Linked DNA regions of Caenorhabditis elegans. The protein of the gene in region 1 interacts with the protein of each later gene in a pairwise test. Each region holds a gene or a part of one and is shown in the gene's direction. Other genes may lie near its edges.

Evidence for each region. Proteins that work in one complex are often made in the same cells at the same time.
Region 2: the proteins of tag-250 (region 1) and W09D6.5 interact in a two-hybrid assay, tested with the Caenorhabditis elegans proteins (one large-scale study listed by BioGRID).

Annotation. Positions count from the first base shown.
Region 1 is NC_003281.10:7,917,549-7,928,021, reverse strand, and holds tag-250 (Putative protein tag-250), read left to right. Parts: upstream 1-3,100; 5' UTR 3,101-3,106; coding exon 3,107-3,200; intron 3,201-3,977; coding exon 3,978-4,101; intron 4,102-4,364; coding exon 4,365-4,446; intron 4,447-4,732; coding exon 4,733-4,820; intron 4,821-5,002; exon of another isoform or gene 5,003-5,038; coding exon of another isoform or gene 5,039-5,128; intron 5,129-5,172; coding exon of another isoform or gene 5,173-5,275; intron 5,276-5,479; coding exon of another isoform or gene 5,480-5,484; exon of another isoform or gene 5,485-5,515; intron 5,516-5,898; coding exon of another isoform or gene 5,899-5,969; exon of another isoform or gene 5,970-5,981; intron 5,982-6,104; coding exon 6,105-6,193; intron 6,194-6,243; coding exon 6,244-6,432; intron 6,433-6,741; coding exon 6,742-6,925; intron 6,926-6,931; exon of another isoform or gene 6,932-7,021; coding exon of another isoform or gene 7,022-7,085; intron 7,086-7,469; coding exon of another isoform or gene 7,470-7,679; intron 7,680-7,725; coding exon of another isoform or gene 7,726-7,787; intron 7,788-7,843; coding exon of another isoform or gene 7,844-7,882; exon of another isoform or gene 7,883-7,899; intron 7,900-8,018; coding exon 8,019-8,146; intron 8,147-8,195; coding exon 8,196-8,396; and 12 more. Other genes in the region: C29E4.13 (C2H2-type domain-containing protein), read left to right, coding at 1-27, 75-165, 244-346, 393-473, 523-632, 754-805, 854-970; C29E4.17 (Spiroplasma plectrovirus-related protein), read right to left, coding at 5,039-5,128, 5,173-5,275, 5,480-5,484; C29E4.14 (EF-hand domain-containing protein), read right to left, coding at 7,022-7,085, 7,470-7,679, 7,726-7,787, 7,844-7,882; gly-3 (Polypeptide N-acetylgalactosaminyltransferase 3), read left to right, coding at 10,264-10,409, 10,458-10,473.
Region 2 is NC_003281.10:11,086,694-11,093,562, forward strand, and holds W09D6.5 (uncharacterized protein), read left to right. Parts: upstream 1-1,793; 5' UTR 1,794-1,796; coding exon 1,797-1,831; intron 1,832-2,591; coding exon 2,592-2,691; intron 2,692-3,131; coding exon 3,132-3,215; intron 3,216-3,364; coding exon 3,365-3,708; intron 3,709-3,718; exon of another isoform or gene 3,719-3,830; intron 3,831-4,316; exon of another isoform or gene 4,317-4,428; intron 4,429-4,462; coding exon 4,463-4,673; 3' UTR 4,674-4,929; downstream 4,930-6,869. Other genes in the region: hmt-1 (Heavy metal tolerance factor 1), read right to left, coding at 5,019-5,124, 5,928-6,484.

The DNA of each region.
Region 1 (10,473 bases):
TGGATGAAAAAGATGATATTTTGAGTCGTGAGTTTAATTTTTTTCAATTCAACTATTTAAAATTTGCATTTTAGAACACAAAGCATTGCCTTATTGTTGTCACTGCAACGCGATTATTAAAACTTGGAGGGGATTCGAATATCACGTTCTCTGCACACATTTAAAGTAAGAATTTCAATTCAAATTATTTAACTAAATATGTAAATAAAATTTTTGAGCATTCATAAAACTTCAAACATTAAGATATCGCCCCTACCGTTGTTTTCATTGTAAAAAAGATGGATTTTACACTGAAGAAGAAGGTCGTTTTCATTTGAGTACAAGACATCCGAAAGATGAAGTTACGGTATGGAGCAATATAAACATTTTTTTAAAAATTTATATATTTTCAGCTATTCAAGGAATACGATCCCAAAAAAGAGACAGCCGCCCGAGAAGCATTCAAACAAATTTTTCTGATATGTAGAGATGGAGTATTTATTTTATCTTTGAGAATTGAAAAGGTTAAAAAACATTTTGCAGCCAGAGGTAACTAAAGATCGAGTTCACGAATGGGAGAGAGAAGCAGAAGTAGAAGTTATGAAGTTCGCCAACTTGAAATTCAAACGGCCAATCGTGTTAGTCAGAAAATTGTGAGTTTACAAAAAAAGTGCCGAAAAGTTTAGCATAAAACATTCTGGAATTATTGATAAACATCAAACTTTTAATTCTGATAGTAAGCTGATTTTTATTATTTTAATTTTGAAACTTCAGAACTTCACACTCACGACAAGTGCAAACGCCCACATATCAAAATATTTCATTGGTAAGGTATTTACAACGTCATACTTGTGTTCTAAAAATTTTGTTTCAGGATTCCTGTCAAATTCCACAGACTCGCCCTGAACTTCAAAATATTGCAATAAACTTTCGTCCGATGTCTGTCACAACTCCACATCAAGATCTATCCATTAATCGACGAGGTGTCTAAATTGTTTAATGTATTTGCGGGTCCTTTTTTTTTTGATAAATAAGTTCATAATTTGAATTTTTATACTTACTGAAATTCTTGAAATAATGATTTTCGATTTTCATTATTCATATTTTAATCTTTATTCAATTTTCAATTACTTCTCATTATTAACTTTAAAAAAATCTGAAAAAGAATTTATTAACTTTTTCGAGATTTCCATAATTCTTTTTCAAAATAACCAATTCCAGTTTAAAGTGACCTCCACTCATAACTAATTCCAAACGTGGCGGAGGGAAGAACCTCTATAAATTGTTCGACCTTGTCTACCCGCTTTCTTACACGCAATAAATTCATAAAACATCTTTTCCCTAATCGCACGAACATTTAGATTAGAATCGCCAACAAAATGCCGGTTTCTTTCTTATTATATTCTTTTGATTTAGTTGTATATATTAGCCGAAAATATCGAAAATCGGAAAAAATCCAATTTTTATGTTTGGAAATCGAGAAAAATCGATAAAGAATTGCTAACAAAATCAGTAATCTTAAAGGCGCGCCTTAATTTGTTAGGTTAGTTCGCAATGCGTGGCGAGACCATTCTAAAATAAATGCACCTCCTTGAAAATCGTGGAAGTGGAAAAAAGTTATATTTTCTAATTTTTGTTAGATTTCCCACGTGGATTTTAATTTCAAAATGTTTCCACTGTATCTACTGATGCAACTGCAATAGTCTCTGTCCGCCTGTACAAACATAAGCTCTTTGCAATATTCTTCAATGCTTCTCCCTCCGAAATCCCTGTGATATTTTCCGTTGTCTTCCCCTCTAAACACCCGTTCTCATCCGATGAATATTTGGCGCAAAACGGAAAAGAAAATCGACGTGTCCATCTACATGTACTGTGTTCTGTATATGTGTCTGCGTCTCTCTGAGTATAGCTCTGCTTTGCTTACTTTCCCATGCGGTCCGTATTGTCTTAACAGTTCACTTTATTTGCTTATCATTGATTAGTGGACCAGCTTGGTATTAGAAATTAGTTTTCTGAATTATTCAGATATATTTGAATTTCACCACTTTTATTTTATCCACCTACATTTCACATTCGAATAATAAAATAATAACAAATCTCATTCTTTCTTGCCACTTTTTATTCCCTCTCCTCGTTGGAACAATGGGAACAACGAGACAAGCAACCGAATATATAATTCCTTCCTTTTACAGTCTGTGTCGATGTAGTTTTTCCTGGTCTATAGTTAAACTTTCACACACGTGGAATAGGGTGTTGTGATTTCAGTTGGTACACAGGAAATGTATTTCTTTTTTTTTTTTTTTTTTGGCTTTTGAAGATTTGTTTAAATTCTAAATTTTTTGAAATAGAAGTGGTTTTGACCCTATAGTATCAGTAATCTTCTCTATATTTTTGCGAATAAAAAACGCCAAAGATCTGGATCAATGAACTCTTCGACCTTTGTTCTAATGCACAATGAACAGTCAGGCGAAGAAATTGCGAAAGAAAGTGTCAAACAAGGGCCGTGTCCATGTTTGCCTTCCGTTCATTTCCACGTCAAGACAAACTCAACTTTTTGAGTGTTTTCCCCAATTTTTTATATTGATTTATTTTTACTGTTTTCTTTTAAGAAAAGTTAACTGACAATCAAAGCTGAGACAAGAAAAATTCGAGAAACAAAAAAAGTCAAATTTGGATTTATTTCGATACTTGAACATTTTTGAGTTTGCGCTCTAACTGTAATTATTCTAGCAAATTAACCTTTGAAAAATATATCAAAAATAAATACTTGTTAGAAAAAAGTCATTTAAAAAACATATTTCTCAAAAAAATATTTTGGAAAATATGTAAAATGTTTGAAGTACACTAAGGATTTTTTTTTTGCATTTTTTGGCGCTAAAATACCAATTTTTTTGTAAAAAATTTATAAAATTGTTCTATTGTTTCACAATTCAATCCAGATACACATTGCATAAAGAAAGTATGAGTGTGTGACAAGTCTTCACCACCTTTTTCTTCTTCTTTTCCATCTAATCCCCCACTTGATTCACCCCATCTCCTTCTCGAATTACTGCTTCGATTTCTTGCCTCTGCATTCTGCATTCTCTCCAAGCAATACCTCTATTTCCATATTTCTTTCAATTTTCAGATGACAACACCGCCAGATGGCACGTCATCATCTTCGTCTGCAAAATTCATGTCGGCGGTTAATGGTTTGGTGCCGTCTACCATTTTTGATCGAAGTAAGTTTTTTTTTCTATAAATCATACAAAATGGACAGTAATGACCGAATATGACTGATAAAAAAATTATTTTATGATTTTTTCAATTTTACAAAAATAAAACTGGTGAATATGACAAATTTTAAAGCATTTTCCAGCAGAGGAAATTATTAAAAAATGTTAATTGAAAACGTTTAAAAATTAAAAAAAAATTCCTGAATTTTTAAAAATAGATTTTTCAATTTTCAGAAAAAAAAAACGTTTAAGTTGTCAGTAATGTCAGGGATTTTCAACAAAAAATTAATAAACATTGAATTTTCGATTTTTTCGTTCAATTTTCCAAAAATGGGAGGTTGTCATCAGTTTTTCAAACCAAAAATTAAAGAAAAACAAATTTAGAAAAATAATTTAAATTTTTTAACAGGCTTATTCGGCAATTACGGTCTATTTTTTTTTAATTTGAAGCAAACCTAAAAAAATTAAAAAATAGTTGGAAAATTTTGGAAAACGAGAAACTATGAAAAATCAAAATGAAAAATCTTTTTAAAAATAAATAGGCAAAAATTTTGTTATTTTAACAATCACAAAGAAAAAATCAACAAAGTATTGAAAAGCTAAATAAATTTTTTTCGTTTTTCTCTTTCCCGGCAGAAAAATTGATTTTTCTGTCGGACTACAAAAACATCACAATTCTCACACACTCAAACAGAAAACAAAAATAATCCGAAAATTTTTCCGATTTTCTACTTTTTTTTTGTTGTTTTCAAAAGTCACATTTCATCATCATAATGGTTTCAGTTAACTCGGACATGGATGTTTCGGAAGAAATGGAAGAGATTCGAGAAGTTCTATATGAGATGATCAAAACTAATTTTCCAATGGGTGTTGCAGCAACTCATCTTTCGGAAAAATATCATGAGGAGTAGGTTTTTTTTGTAGATATTTTTCAAAATGTTTTTTTCAAAGAAAAATCGAAAAAAAAAATCAAATTTTTAATAATTCCGGATCGTTTCACCACTAAAAAATACATGTTATTTTTTAATCATTAAAATATCAAAATCTATGTATTTTTGATAAATTTTCGATTTGTCGATATTTTTCTAGAAAAAGCGAAAAATTTTCGATGGCGCTCTTGATAGTAATTACTGTTTTTTTTAGAAAATTCAAAAGTTTTTTGGTTTTCAGATTTGTTTCAAAAGGACTTGGACGTGAACTTCCCGAAGATTGGATTCAGCAAGTCACTGCTGCAGAAGAGTTTGAAGCTCAGGTATATTCTAAGCTATCAAAAGTATTATATCACCTAAATTACGGTACCCGGTCTCGACGCGATTGAAAACTTAAAAGAGTGTGCGCCATTCACGAGTACGACACGAGTACGACACAAACAAAAACAAAAAAAACGACTTCAATGGTCATAACTACAGTACTCTTCACATATTGTAGCGCAAATAATTTCAAATCGTCCCGAGACCCATTATCGTAATTTTTCATGAAAACCGCTACTTTTCGAGAAATAAAGACTAAAAAATTATTCCAAAAAAAGCAATTTCCAGACACGCGGCCCCATCACCATACTGTTCGTCCGTCTCTCAAACACATCATCGTTCAAAAGACCACCCATAAATTCAGTAAATGTACGAGGTGAATGAATACATTCTGAATACATTTAAATAGACACTCAAAAAGTGAAAAGAAATAACAATTATGTGAACATGCTGTCGGAAAACGGGGACACACATACAGAATAACTGTCCTTTTCTTGTCCTTTCTATGTCTCTTTGTCCCTCGACCTAAATTATTAGTTTGAAGTGTTACTAGTAAAATTACTAATTTATTTTTATTCGAAAAATATTTAAAAATCAAATAATTAGTTTTTGCTTTTTCTTCTTCTTAGTTTCTGCTTCAGAATCCGGTGGCCTGTATGAAATTTTCAGATTGAATCCGCCCATCTAAAATATTTAGAATTAACTGAATAAATTCAAAAAGAAAATACCCTCCTAATCCGCATTGTCAAATAACCACCCATAATTATTGAGAAAAGTGTGAGCAACAGGATGGATCCCAAGAAAATCCATTCGATTATTTCATTGGGTAAACTGCAAAAAAAACGGAAAATGAGGGGTTTACTTAAAATTACTCAAAATAATCATGAAATACGAAAAAATGATGAAAATCGACAAGAAATGAAAAATCTGTCTGATAGGTTAAAAAGTGTGTATAATTTTTCATTCTTTTTTGATTTTTTAAATGATATTTCTTAATTTAAGACTATTTTAGATTCGTCGAAACAAAATTCTTACCTCATCAATAGCTTTTTGAAACACAAATTGTTAAAAAAAAAGGAAAACGTCCCTTGACAAACCACTGTTGTAAAAAATTACTACAATATGAAGTTCACGTTTTTCAAAAAAAATATACTAGAAATTAATTCTGATTATTTCAAAAGTGATGAAGTAAATAATTGCTAAATCAAAGGAACCTGTTCAAACAGTATTACAAACGATTAAATTAAAAATTCCCGCCAATTCTTCTATTTATTTACTCGGTCATAAGTATTCCCAACCTAATATATACTCACATTTCAACGACTTAATTAACATCACCTCTTTACTGTCCAATCCCCTTTATTCTTTGCTTAGCCTATCCCTTCATTGCATGAAATTGATCCCATCATCCAAAGCCTCCTGCTGCTGATGCTTCATCTAATCCCTACTTTCAGCTTGCCCAATTCGCATTAACACCACGCCCCCTCTGTCTTCTCTAACCTTAATTCGAATATGGAGGAATTGAATTCCGATTTCAGTGAGTTCTAATCGTTGTGTAATTATATACTCACTCGTAATTTGTTTTTTGTTCTGCACCAAATGTTTTCTAAAAATATTTTGTATTCTTTTTGAAACATTTAAACATTCAATACTTATTCAGTCATTTCCACGGATCGAGAACCAACTGCGGATGAGTTGAAAAAAATTAAACAAAGAAAAGAGAATGAGCCAACGGAGCATGCAAAAACGGTATGTTTTTTAAATTCAATTTTTTAAGATCAATTTTATTTAATATTCAGCTTTCTCAACAATCTGTCGCTCTAAAAGAAGGATCAACTGTGTCAATCGTCTATGCAGATTCGCCAAAGAGATTCTTTATTCGAGCTCTCGCGGATGACGATCAGTATGAAAAAATTGGAACTACGCTCGCTGAGATTTATGCTCAAGAAACTCCGCCATCGGCACTCGATAGTCGAGTTGCAATTTATGTAAGTTCATGTGCTCAACTGGCTTCCGACGAAAAAAGAAAAAAATTGAAGTTGTTGAAACAATTAAAAAACGTAAATATTTTTTGATAAACATACAAAGATGAATAAAAGAATTCAAAAACTAATATTTCGGATAACGAATTAAAAACTATAAAAAACCCGAAACTTGTAAAATATACTTTGTAGATCTACAAAAAACGTTTGGAGTTCCAAAGTGGTTTTTTGTTGCCTTTTTGGTTCGAAAAATCCAAAAAATGCCCAGCCCTGGTACTTTTACATAAATGAGACAACTGTATTCATTAATTACAGGAAATTGTGGCTGGTGGAGCTTATGCCCTTCAAGATTCGAATGGAACATGGTTTCGTGTAATTGCCAAGCAGCCACCACAATCCGGACAAGTCATGTGCCATTTTGTGGATGTTGGCGTCTGTGAGAAATTCCCTGTGGCGGCGATAAGACTCTTACCACCTGCTGTGCATCCAGTAATGTCAAGTGAGTTTTTTTAAATTTTTATTAAAATCTAAAAATAATCACAAAAATAGGTAGAAAGTTAATTTATAGAGTAAAATTAAAAAGCAATATTCGAGTCTATGAGAACTTCTTTGAATATTCGCTGAAACTGATCATCCCATCTCCATTTTTATCGAGTTCGCTGAAAATGTATATTTTTGAAATATCATTATCGATGATGAGAGCCCTTTTGTAATCGACATGGAAACGAGATGTATGGTCAATTGACAACGCTCCGCCCCCAATCCACGTATTTCGTTAGGTATTTGACGGCAAAACGTTTTCAATTAATTTCGCCGATTTTTAAGCAGTTATTTGTTTTTATTATTGTTTTTTTATAACTTCAAAATCAATAAAGCTAACGGAAAACATAACAAAACAGGCGTATAATGCTTGAAAATTATACCTAACGAGACCTATGGGTCGTGGGCGGAGCACTTTTATTTGGCAGTGTAGCGCGCTTCCACTTCAATTTCTATCATTTCAATTTCTAATAAAGACGCCTTTTTGTGCGTCTTAATAATACCTGAGAACTAGATCAGCTTGTACTTCAATCATCTCTACATCCATTTTAGTTTTCTCATCCGAGTGTTCCGTTATCATTTTGAAGAGTTCAACACCATCCAAATGATTATCCTGATTGGTGTCACCAACTTTAAAATAATAAAACTTTCGATCTTTCGATGATGTGTGCTTTTCGATTTCAATCTTGTTCCCGTAATGATCTTTTAGATGTCTAAAACAGTTAGGTTAATTCAAAAAAGGAAGTATCTCAAACTCACTCAATACTCAAATCATCATCCGAAGCGAAACTGTGTACTTTCCTATCGAACCCGTTAACGGTCTAGAAATGTCGGATTATAAAAAAATTATAATTGAAAAAAATATTTAAAAACTCACCAAAACCACTAGAGCTAACAGAAAAAGAGCGCTGAACATCTTCAAAAAGTGATACTAATTTTGATTTTTGTTTCTTTTTTGCTAACGTGTATTAACCAAGAAAAAAAATATAAAAAAGTATGAGAAATCAATTTATAAATTTCACGTTTAATTTAAAATTTCAATGAATTTTCAGTCGGATCAATGGCTCGAGAAGTTCGTATGGATGTCAGTGAAGAAGAATCATTGAGGTTGAATAATAAATTTGTTGATTTAACATTCGAGACAAAAGATGATGGAATTCAGGTTCCGATAAATCTAACAGTGAGTAATATTTATTTACAAGTATAATATCTCACGAATATTTTTTCAGCTTTCAAAGTTTGACTCCTCAGACTCCGAATCTTTACCAGTTGTAGATCTTCAAAGTTCTGATGGCTTATCAATTACCGAATTTCTTAAAAAACCATCTGGAGTTGTTCGATTGAGTACTCCAACAAAAACAACTTCACCTATTACTCCGGCTTCTGCTTCAACATCCAGTTTGACATGTCTTTTTGACAAACCTGCGACGGTAAATATCTTCTATTGATGTTTAGAAATTTTAGAATAACATTTTCAGATCCAACCAATGACCGTTGCTCAAATGCCGATGTCAGCGTTCCCAGCAAATGCAATTTTCGCTGCAGGACCCACGGACATCTCATTACGGCAACTTTCATTAGACCCGATGCCCGATTATATGTATGCAAAGTTGAAAGACGAATGTGCTCTGCCTGATTCTCAACTGGAAAGTTCTCCTGATTTTGGAGGGTGAGACTTTTTTTTTTGATTTGAAAAAATTTAAGCTAAATATTTGAAAATTTAGATTCTACGCGGCTTTTATCGATGATCGTTGGGAACGTGTTCAGTGTATTCGTGCGAGTAAAATTGGTAGGTATATTTATTTATTATTTTATTTACTGTACCAGGAAATTTTTGAAAAAAAAATTTTCGAAAATTACTGTACCAGTTCTCGACACAACAAATTTTCATTAAATACAAGAGGCTGTGCGCTTTTAAAAAGTACTGTAAATCAAAAGATCTCGTTACTTTGGAATTTTTATAGTTTTTCGTAAAAATGTTTGAAATTACAGTACTCTTTAAGACGCACACATCTTTTCATTCAACATAAATTTGTCGCGTCGAGACCGAATACCGTAACTTTGAAAAAAATTGCAAAAATAGTTTTGTAATATTGAACTGTGATTTTGGAAAAATTTAAATATCCTGTTCAAAATTGCACTTTTGAAAAAGTAAATAAAACAATTGTGAGTTTCTCAGTATATCTGAATTTTTCGCACATTTTTCCCAAAAAAAAAAACAAAACATCTACAATCTTGCTGAGTATTATACCTTTTTTCCTTGAAATGTCCATCTTTTTTTTTCAGACAAACAAGCCTATTGTGTATATCTTCTGGATGTGGGCGCTTTCCAATACGTGCGAAAAGAAGCAATGCGACGTCTCAACTCCACGTCACCATTCAAAAAAATGCTGATGTTCAAGTGTAAAATCGGAGGAATCAAACCAGTTGCTGGAGGAGAAGTTTGGAGCCGCGAGTCACATGAAGCTGTTCGAGAATTCTTTGAAGCAGCATGTGGTGAACCTGTTGTGGTAAGTCATGAAAAGAATACTTTCAAATGCAAATTAATTATTTCAGGTTGAACCAACTCAGCCTGGATGGTCTCAATGGAAACAATTAAATGCTCCAGCTGTTCCAACCTGTGAAGCTCGTTTATCTTGTTGTGGTAGAGATATTGGTGACTGGCTCATCGCGTGTGGTTTGGCTCTTCCAATAAATGCACCAATTCCAAGTCCCAATTCACAGTCACTTCTTACTTTTGTTCCAACACCAATTAATATTGTTGGCAGAAATATTTGAATATTTTCTGATCCGTCTTCATTACAAAGCTTCTAATCAATTTTGTGCTTTATTTTTTTCTAATTTTTGAATATTGTATATTTTCATAATTCCTCAGTTTTGCCGATTAGTAGTCTTTCTCTGAAAATTCAAAAATATTTGCTCAGTTTTCCACTTTTCTCTTCAGTTTTTATTCTTTCTAGTTTCATAATTCTGTGATAATTTCAGTTTTATTGTCTTTTAATTATTTTTGTGCTTCTCGTATATTTTGCTTGTTGGAATAATAATTGTTAAAAAATTTTAAAAAATTTGTTCACGGTTTATTAGTTTTGATATAAAACGTGTTCAAATAGACACGTATTAATATTTTTATTTGAATTTTTAAAACCATTTTTTTGTATTCTCTATCACAAAAGTTATCATGTTTTCAATTTTCCAGTACTATTCAAGAAAATTTAGCCTTGTTAAATAATTTTGATCGGAATTTATCTTCTTTTTTCCCCTGAATTTTTAATCATTCTCTAATTTCAGAGTAATTGAATGCTGAGTGTGGGCGGTGGTCGTTCGGCAGTATGTCGTGCTGTCATTGCCACTTCCATCGTCTGGTTGCTCATTGATGTTGTTATTCTTTTTTACTATCTCGATCCATCCACATCACAACAACAGCCATTTCCGGAGGATAACAGGTATTCTATTAAAATTATTTACATCAACTAATTGTTATCATTTTTAAGAATCTTGAATCGTGCT
Region 2 (6,869 bases), 3.2 Mb from region 1:
AACACTATTGTTTATATCATGTTAGGAATTAATATTGCAATCAATCACTGATTTTTGATTACCTCTTTGATTTCTTTTCATTTTCATTCACCTGATTGGATTAATTACTTTTTTGTGACAATTTTAATTCGGATTTTACAACAAGTAAGTACAGATTTTTGCATTTTTTTAAAGTGTTACTACGTATTAAAAAAATGCTATACTGGATGAAAACCAAAATTTTTTAATTTTTTGACTAATTGATTATTCCTATTAATTTACATTAACAAACAATTAATTAACGTTATAAAAATCCAATTTTCAAAAATTCAATCTTGTTTTGTACTCCTCTCGGACTACGTAAAGCCGCCAAGTTAAAAAAGTTCGGAAAACATTCTATTTTGAATTTCATAGTATTAAAACTGGTTTATAAATGTTTTCGGAGCAACTCAAAATTGCAAATATGTTCCACTGACTGCATGTGTACTTCACGTGGACAATTTGCAATTTTCAATTTTTAAATATAAATTTTTGGTTGAAAAATCGATGAGTTAGCTGTATTTTAAATCTGAAAATCTCAGTGTTCCATGGAAAAAATTAAAAATTCTGTACTCCTCCTGGAAAATTAAACACATTTTTTTTCGATTTTATAAACTTTTTGAAAATCAAATAATTTAAATTAAAATTTTACCGACTCTGCGAGGACTAAATTTAAGTTTGTGCGTCTGCCGTGTACTCCTCTCGGACAAATTTCAAATTTTCAAAAAATCATTTTTCTGAAAACTTTCTCATAAATTCAAATTTTTATTCCTAGCTCTAAAAAAATAAAAATAAAAATCTATTGTATCAATTCCCAGACAGTTTCACACTTTCCCTGCGAAAAAAACCGATTCTTATCAGATATTGCCACGTCACCAAGCATTCCATATTCCCGACACACATGTTCCACTCGGCCGCCATTCTTATCGCCATTTCTTTTTTTTTTCGATTCTCTGTGTCTCTTAATCTTTCCATATACTTTTTTATCTATTCCTACCATCATCTTCATCAGAAACCGTCTTTACATTCAACTCGCCCCATAAATGCTTCATGCCTCTCCGGGCCCTGTAATTGTGCGGCAGGGGATTGGGAAAAACGCTTATAACTTTGCAGCCATAGGAGGCGCAAAAAAGTTGTCAATAGACAAATTGTAGAAAATAAAATTTCCTATATTTTGTTAGTTAACAACTTTTTGATAATTTTATTGGCTGAATTTATATACCAGTTTTTAAAAATTCTTCTTTTTGAATTTTCTCATATATTTTATTAACAAGTAAGGCCTTCTCAAAAACTTTTCAATTTTCTCACTTTCTCGATCTTCCCATTCCCCGGTATTGAATCTATGATCTCGAGTCCATTTTCTTTTCTTTAATATTTTTTATTCTTTATTGTTCTTGTTTTCTGTACCCCACCCATTTCTCGAGATGAACTCTTGCTGGGGTTGTCTCGTTTTATAAATTTATTTTCTCATTAAACCTTAAATTGTACTACCTTTCAATGTATTACCTTTTGGCTCTTAATGTTGAAAATAAATCAAATCAATCAAATCAAGGCCTTCTCAATTTGAATGTTATCAGAAATTTAACAAGAAATAATCTGTAAAAAATTAATTTTCTACAACTTATCAGTTGACAACTTTTTGTACCTTCTATCACTAAAAAGATATCAATTTTTCAAAAATTCTACATCCCTTTTTTTTCTTTTTTTGCAACTCTTTCTTGCACCTCATTTTGCTTCTAAATTTGATTTTAAAAAATATAGTTCATAATTTTCAGGTAATGGACGTTACAGCGACACCGCGACCACACTCCAAGTTTGTTTTTTTTTGTTTTTTTTTTTGAAAAAATAATTTGGAAAATTTTTTTTTTTTAAATTTTGAATTTCCAAAAATGTTTTATTACTTTTTAGATATATCTAGGAACTATATTTTGAAAATATTTTACAGAAAAATTTTTAAAAATTCTTATGGCAGTCTGATACAGCTTAAACTTTTTTTCTGAAATTTTGACTTTATACCGCAATATCTCAAAAACCAATTGAGCTACTAAACAGTTGTCAACTAAAAACTTGTAGTTAATTTATCTTTCTACATTTTCTTAGCTGACAACTTTTTTATACCTCTTATGACTATTGAAACAAATACTCTTAAAAAAACTGTAAAAATTCTGAAAATTTATAATTTAAAAATTCGAACACTGAAATCTAAAAAACCAATAAAGTTATCAAAAAATAGCAAACTAATAAAATGTAGTAAATAAACTTTCCTACAATTTGTCAGTTGACAACTTTTGATATTTTTCCCAGTTTTTGAAATATGAAGGTTTTGAGCGAACCAGTTTTTTTCGCATGTGCAAATGATGCTCTTGCTCCGAGAGCTTATAACTCTTCGAAAACTAAATATAGGATTAAATTGATAATATAGTAACATTTTCTGCATAATTTACTACATTTTAGTAGTTGACAACTTTTTCATATCTCAAACTTCAGCAGAGATATGATAATTTGAAAAAATCGAAAAAAAAAAATCAAAAATTTTTTTTTTCTCTCACAACTCAATCAATATAATTTTTCAGCACTCAGCGCCCAACACAGGCCTATTATGTGCCTAGGAAGTTGCTCGAGTGTGGTCGCGGCCCGCAATCAAAACCAACGACTATCGACAAAAATGAAAAGGTTGGAATTTAATGGCCTATATTTCTTTAACTTAAAAAACGTTTTTTAAACAAAATTTTGCCGACTTAAGATCACGGGGTTCTGGCCTTCCTCGTTGATTTTTTTCGCGCTCCATTGACAATCGCCTGCCGGACAACGCGTGGGAAAGTCGTGTACTCGACACGGACGAATACATTTAGTTTTACACTAAAAAAGAGTCGCGACGCGACACGCAACGCGCCGTAAATCTACCCCAGATATGGCCGAGCCAAAATGGCCTAGTTCGGCAAACTCTTCCATTTCAATTTATGAGGGAAGCCAGAAATCCGTGTTAAGATAAAATCAATAGATTTCATCAAAATTTACACCAAGAAAATCCGAAAAATTAGGCCCGCCCCTTTTTTCCAATTTCGAAAATGTTCGGCGAATTTCCTCCTTCCAAGTCACCTAAATTTTTGCAGCCAATTCAAACTTCTGCCCAACAGAAGCAGAAGCCCCGCCCACTTATGGATACCGTTATCTCGGCTCCGCCTTCTTCTCTCAAGGTATTATAATTTTTAATTAAAAAAAAATCTAATTTTTCGACCGTAAATATTTTTGTGCTTAAAAATCTACCAATAAAGGGGCGGGGCTTTCCTAGGCCACGCCCACAATTTTCAAGATTCGGATTCTCAACCGAAATTAATTTTTCCAGGAGAAGTCCCCCCAATCCAATCGTCAAACGAAATCAAACAAAAAATCGTCACCACCGCCACGTAAATCGCCAGTGATGACGTCATCATACCAAGTACAGTACCCAAATTCGCCGCGAGACCTTCATCTCGTATCGTCGACACCATCGTCACGCTCCTCGTCCTCAATGAGCTCAAACAATGGAATTGTGTCACCGACGTTGACCGTCTCATCGCCACGTATCGTCAAGGGCGGTCCACAGAAGTATTCGATGTCACGCCCGAACGCGTTTGCTCCGATGATTGCACAATCTGATGAGAAGGAGTGTATTTGTGATCGGAAAAATACACATGTAGTTTGTAAACGGTATGTATCTTTTGCCTCAACGGATTCCCCGAAGAAGCGGTTCCAAAAATTGATTTGCATTTCAACGCGTTCTTGCGAAAGGTCGAAATTTAATGCTAACCTTGGTTAACTGGGTAAAAACCAACGATATGAGAAAATGAAGGAGAGGTCACTCCCCGTGTGTGCCGACATCTCGCGGGTTCCGCGCGCCGCTGTGTTTAGCGTGCGAGTGGGAGGAGTTTGGCTAATTTTGATTGGAAGATTGGAAAAAATGTATTTCCCGACGAAAATTTATGAATATTATGTTAAATTATTGTTTTAATTCAGAAAATTTATGGAAACAGTTGAAAACTTAGGTTTTCCATCAATTTAAAAAATATTTTTGCTAAAAACGCTTCAAAAATGGGAATTTTCGATTAAATCTTGCAGTTTTTAATTAAAAACGGTTTAAATCAACATTAAATCTATAAAGAAATATGAAAAAACCACTCAAGTTAAGACTTTTTGCTTAATTTCCCCAATTTACCCCCAAACTCCTTCCAGTCACACGCTAAACACAGTGGTGGGCGGAACCCGCGAGATGTCGGCACACACGGGGAGTCATCTTCCTTTCAATTTCTACTCAATTTGGTTTATACCCAGTTAACCAAGGTTAGCATTAAGTTTCGACCTTTCCAAGAATGTGTTGAAATGCAAATTAATTTTTGGAACCGCTTCTTCGGGGAATCCGTTGAAGCAAAAACTCTGAAGCTTTTAAAACATAAGAAATTTCCAGATGTGGCTACGAATGTGTTGGCCGAGTGCAAGTGACATGCGGCAAGCATCCTCTGATCCTTGCGCTCAATGATCTCCGCGAATGCCCGAATCCCGTGTGCCATAGCGTTCAGCTGCTCGAGTGCGACGAGCTCGACGATCAGGATGTGCACGACGATGGTGTCGAGCAGCTGCTCGCCGAGCCGATTGAGAAAATCGATTTGCTGTCGTGAAAAATTCTAATTTTTAATTTTTACTAAAAGAAAAAACCCAAAAAAAAAATTGAAACCGCGCTCTATTGACAATAATTTTTAAATTTTTCCTGTAATTCTACTACTGACACCTGTTCATTCGGGTCCTCTCACACATTTCACCCCCTGAATTTTGCTGTACATTTGTCTTTGCTTCTCTACTCTTTTTCAAAAATTTATTAATTTTTTTCTAGCAATACAAAAAAAGAATAATAAATCAATTCGAAACATGAAAAAATGCTCAAAAATACGAAAGAGATCCCTAAAAAACAGGCAAAACAAACATTTAGTACTGAAATGGGAATTGGAAAATCGGGGGCATCAGATCTACGGAAGCTCCTCGCCGAGTTCAATCGATTTGGCACGTTGCTCGGCGATTTGTGCTTCCCACATTGAGGCATACGTGCCTTGTTGTGCAAGAAGCTCCTTGTGACTGAAAAATGACAAAAATTAGGGTATTTTTCCGCGAATCTGGATCCACCGATATCACATTTCCCGGAAATGGTGAGGTCTCTATGAATTTGTTTCTAACAAACTTAAATTCCCTATATTCCCTCAAATCGTGAGGTGTCATAAACCGGTCCATTTTTTTGGGCGGAGCCATTGTTTTCAGTTTTCGAGAATCTGTGTCCACCGGAAAAAACTTTGTGGAATTGTGGGCGGAGCCTGCAAATATAGGGAATCCAAAATCCGGTGGAAACGGATTCCCGAAAAGTTTAGGGTTTTTACTAAATTTTCCGTGTGAGGCCTCTCGGAATTTAAAATTCTGTAGAACTAAAATTCCGGAGAATTTCGCTTCGCAATTTAAGGGAATCTTGAAGCTGGTGGAAACGGATGGTGTCTATTATTGATTGATATTGATTTGGAGGCCTCACAAAAACGATTAAACCGGTAGAAACAAATTCACAAGGAAAAAGGGGATTTCGTAAGTCACTGGGAGTGTTAAAATTGGTAGAAACAGATTCCCGGAGAAAATAGGATCTAAAAAGTACATAAGTGCGCACCCTGAAATCGGTAGAAACAGATTCCCGACGGAAATGAGATCTCACGATTTGGAGTGAACTACAAGAACGGTGGAAAAAGATCTCGCAAGTTAGGGGGAATACTAAATCTGTTAGAAACAGGTTCCTGGGATCATAAAACCGATAGAAACAAAACCACGGAAGAAAATGGTTCTCCAAAGACACTGGGGAATCCCAAAATCAGTAGAACCAGATCTACGGGCAATAAACTCACTTTCCCCTCTCCAAAATGATGCCCTTATCAAGAACAAGAATAAGGTCAGCATTGACAACCGTGCTCAATCGATGAGCCACCACAACTCCGGTACGTGATTTGCAAAGCTTCTCCAAACACTTTTGAATCGCCCGTTCTGTCGGTGTATCCAACGCCGACGTGGCTTCATCCAAGAAAATGAACTGCGGCTTCTTGAGAATAGTTCTGGCAATTGCGACACGTTGCTTCTCCCCTCCACTAAGCTTCAGCCCACGTTCTCCAACCATTGTCGCGTATCCTTCAGGCAGTGAGGTAATCTTTTCATGAATCATTGCTGCCTTCGCCGCCTCAATAACCTCTTCATCTGAAGCATCCGGTCGTCCGAATCTGATATTATACATAATTGTGTCGTTGAAGAGTACAGTATCTTGTGGTACAATTCCAATTTGTTGCCGCAGTGAGTGCATTGTATAGTTTCGAACATCAATTCCATCGAATTCAATACTTCCTTCCGTAGATTCAAAAAGTCGGAATAGTAGTCGAATTAGTGTGCTTTTTCCGGATCCCGATGAGCCGACCTGCAAATTTATCGATTTTTGTATAGCATATAATGGGGGCGGGGCCGAAAATTATCAATTTTTCGAAGAAAACAAAGTGGTCGGGGCTAAACATTTCGATTTTTCAGCAAAAAATATGGGCGGAGCCAAAATATCGATTTTCGAAAAATATTGTGGGCGGAGCCAAATATGTTTTGTAAGAAAAAAATATGGGCGGAGCCCAAATATAGTTTTTTTCCGGGGAAAATTTAGGCGGGGCTAAAATATCGTTCTTTCAGGAAAAATGTGGGCGGAGCCAAAATATAGTTTTTCCGGGGAAAATGTAGGCAGAGCCAAAATATCGCTTTTCCGACAAAAATGGGCGGAGCCAAAACTTCAATGTTTCTAAAAAATGTGGGCGGAGCCA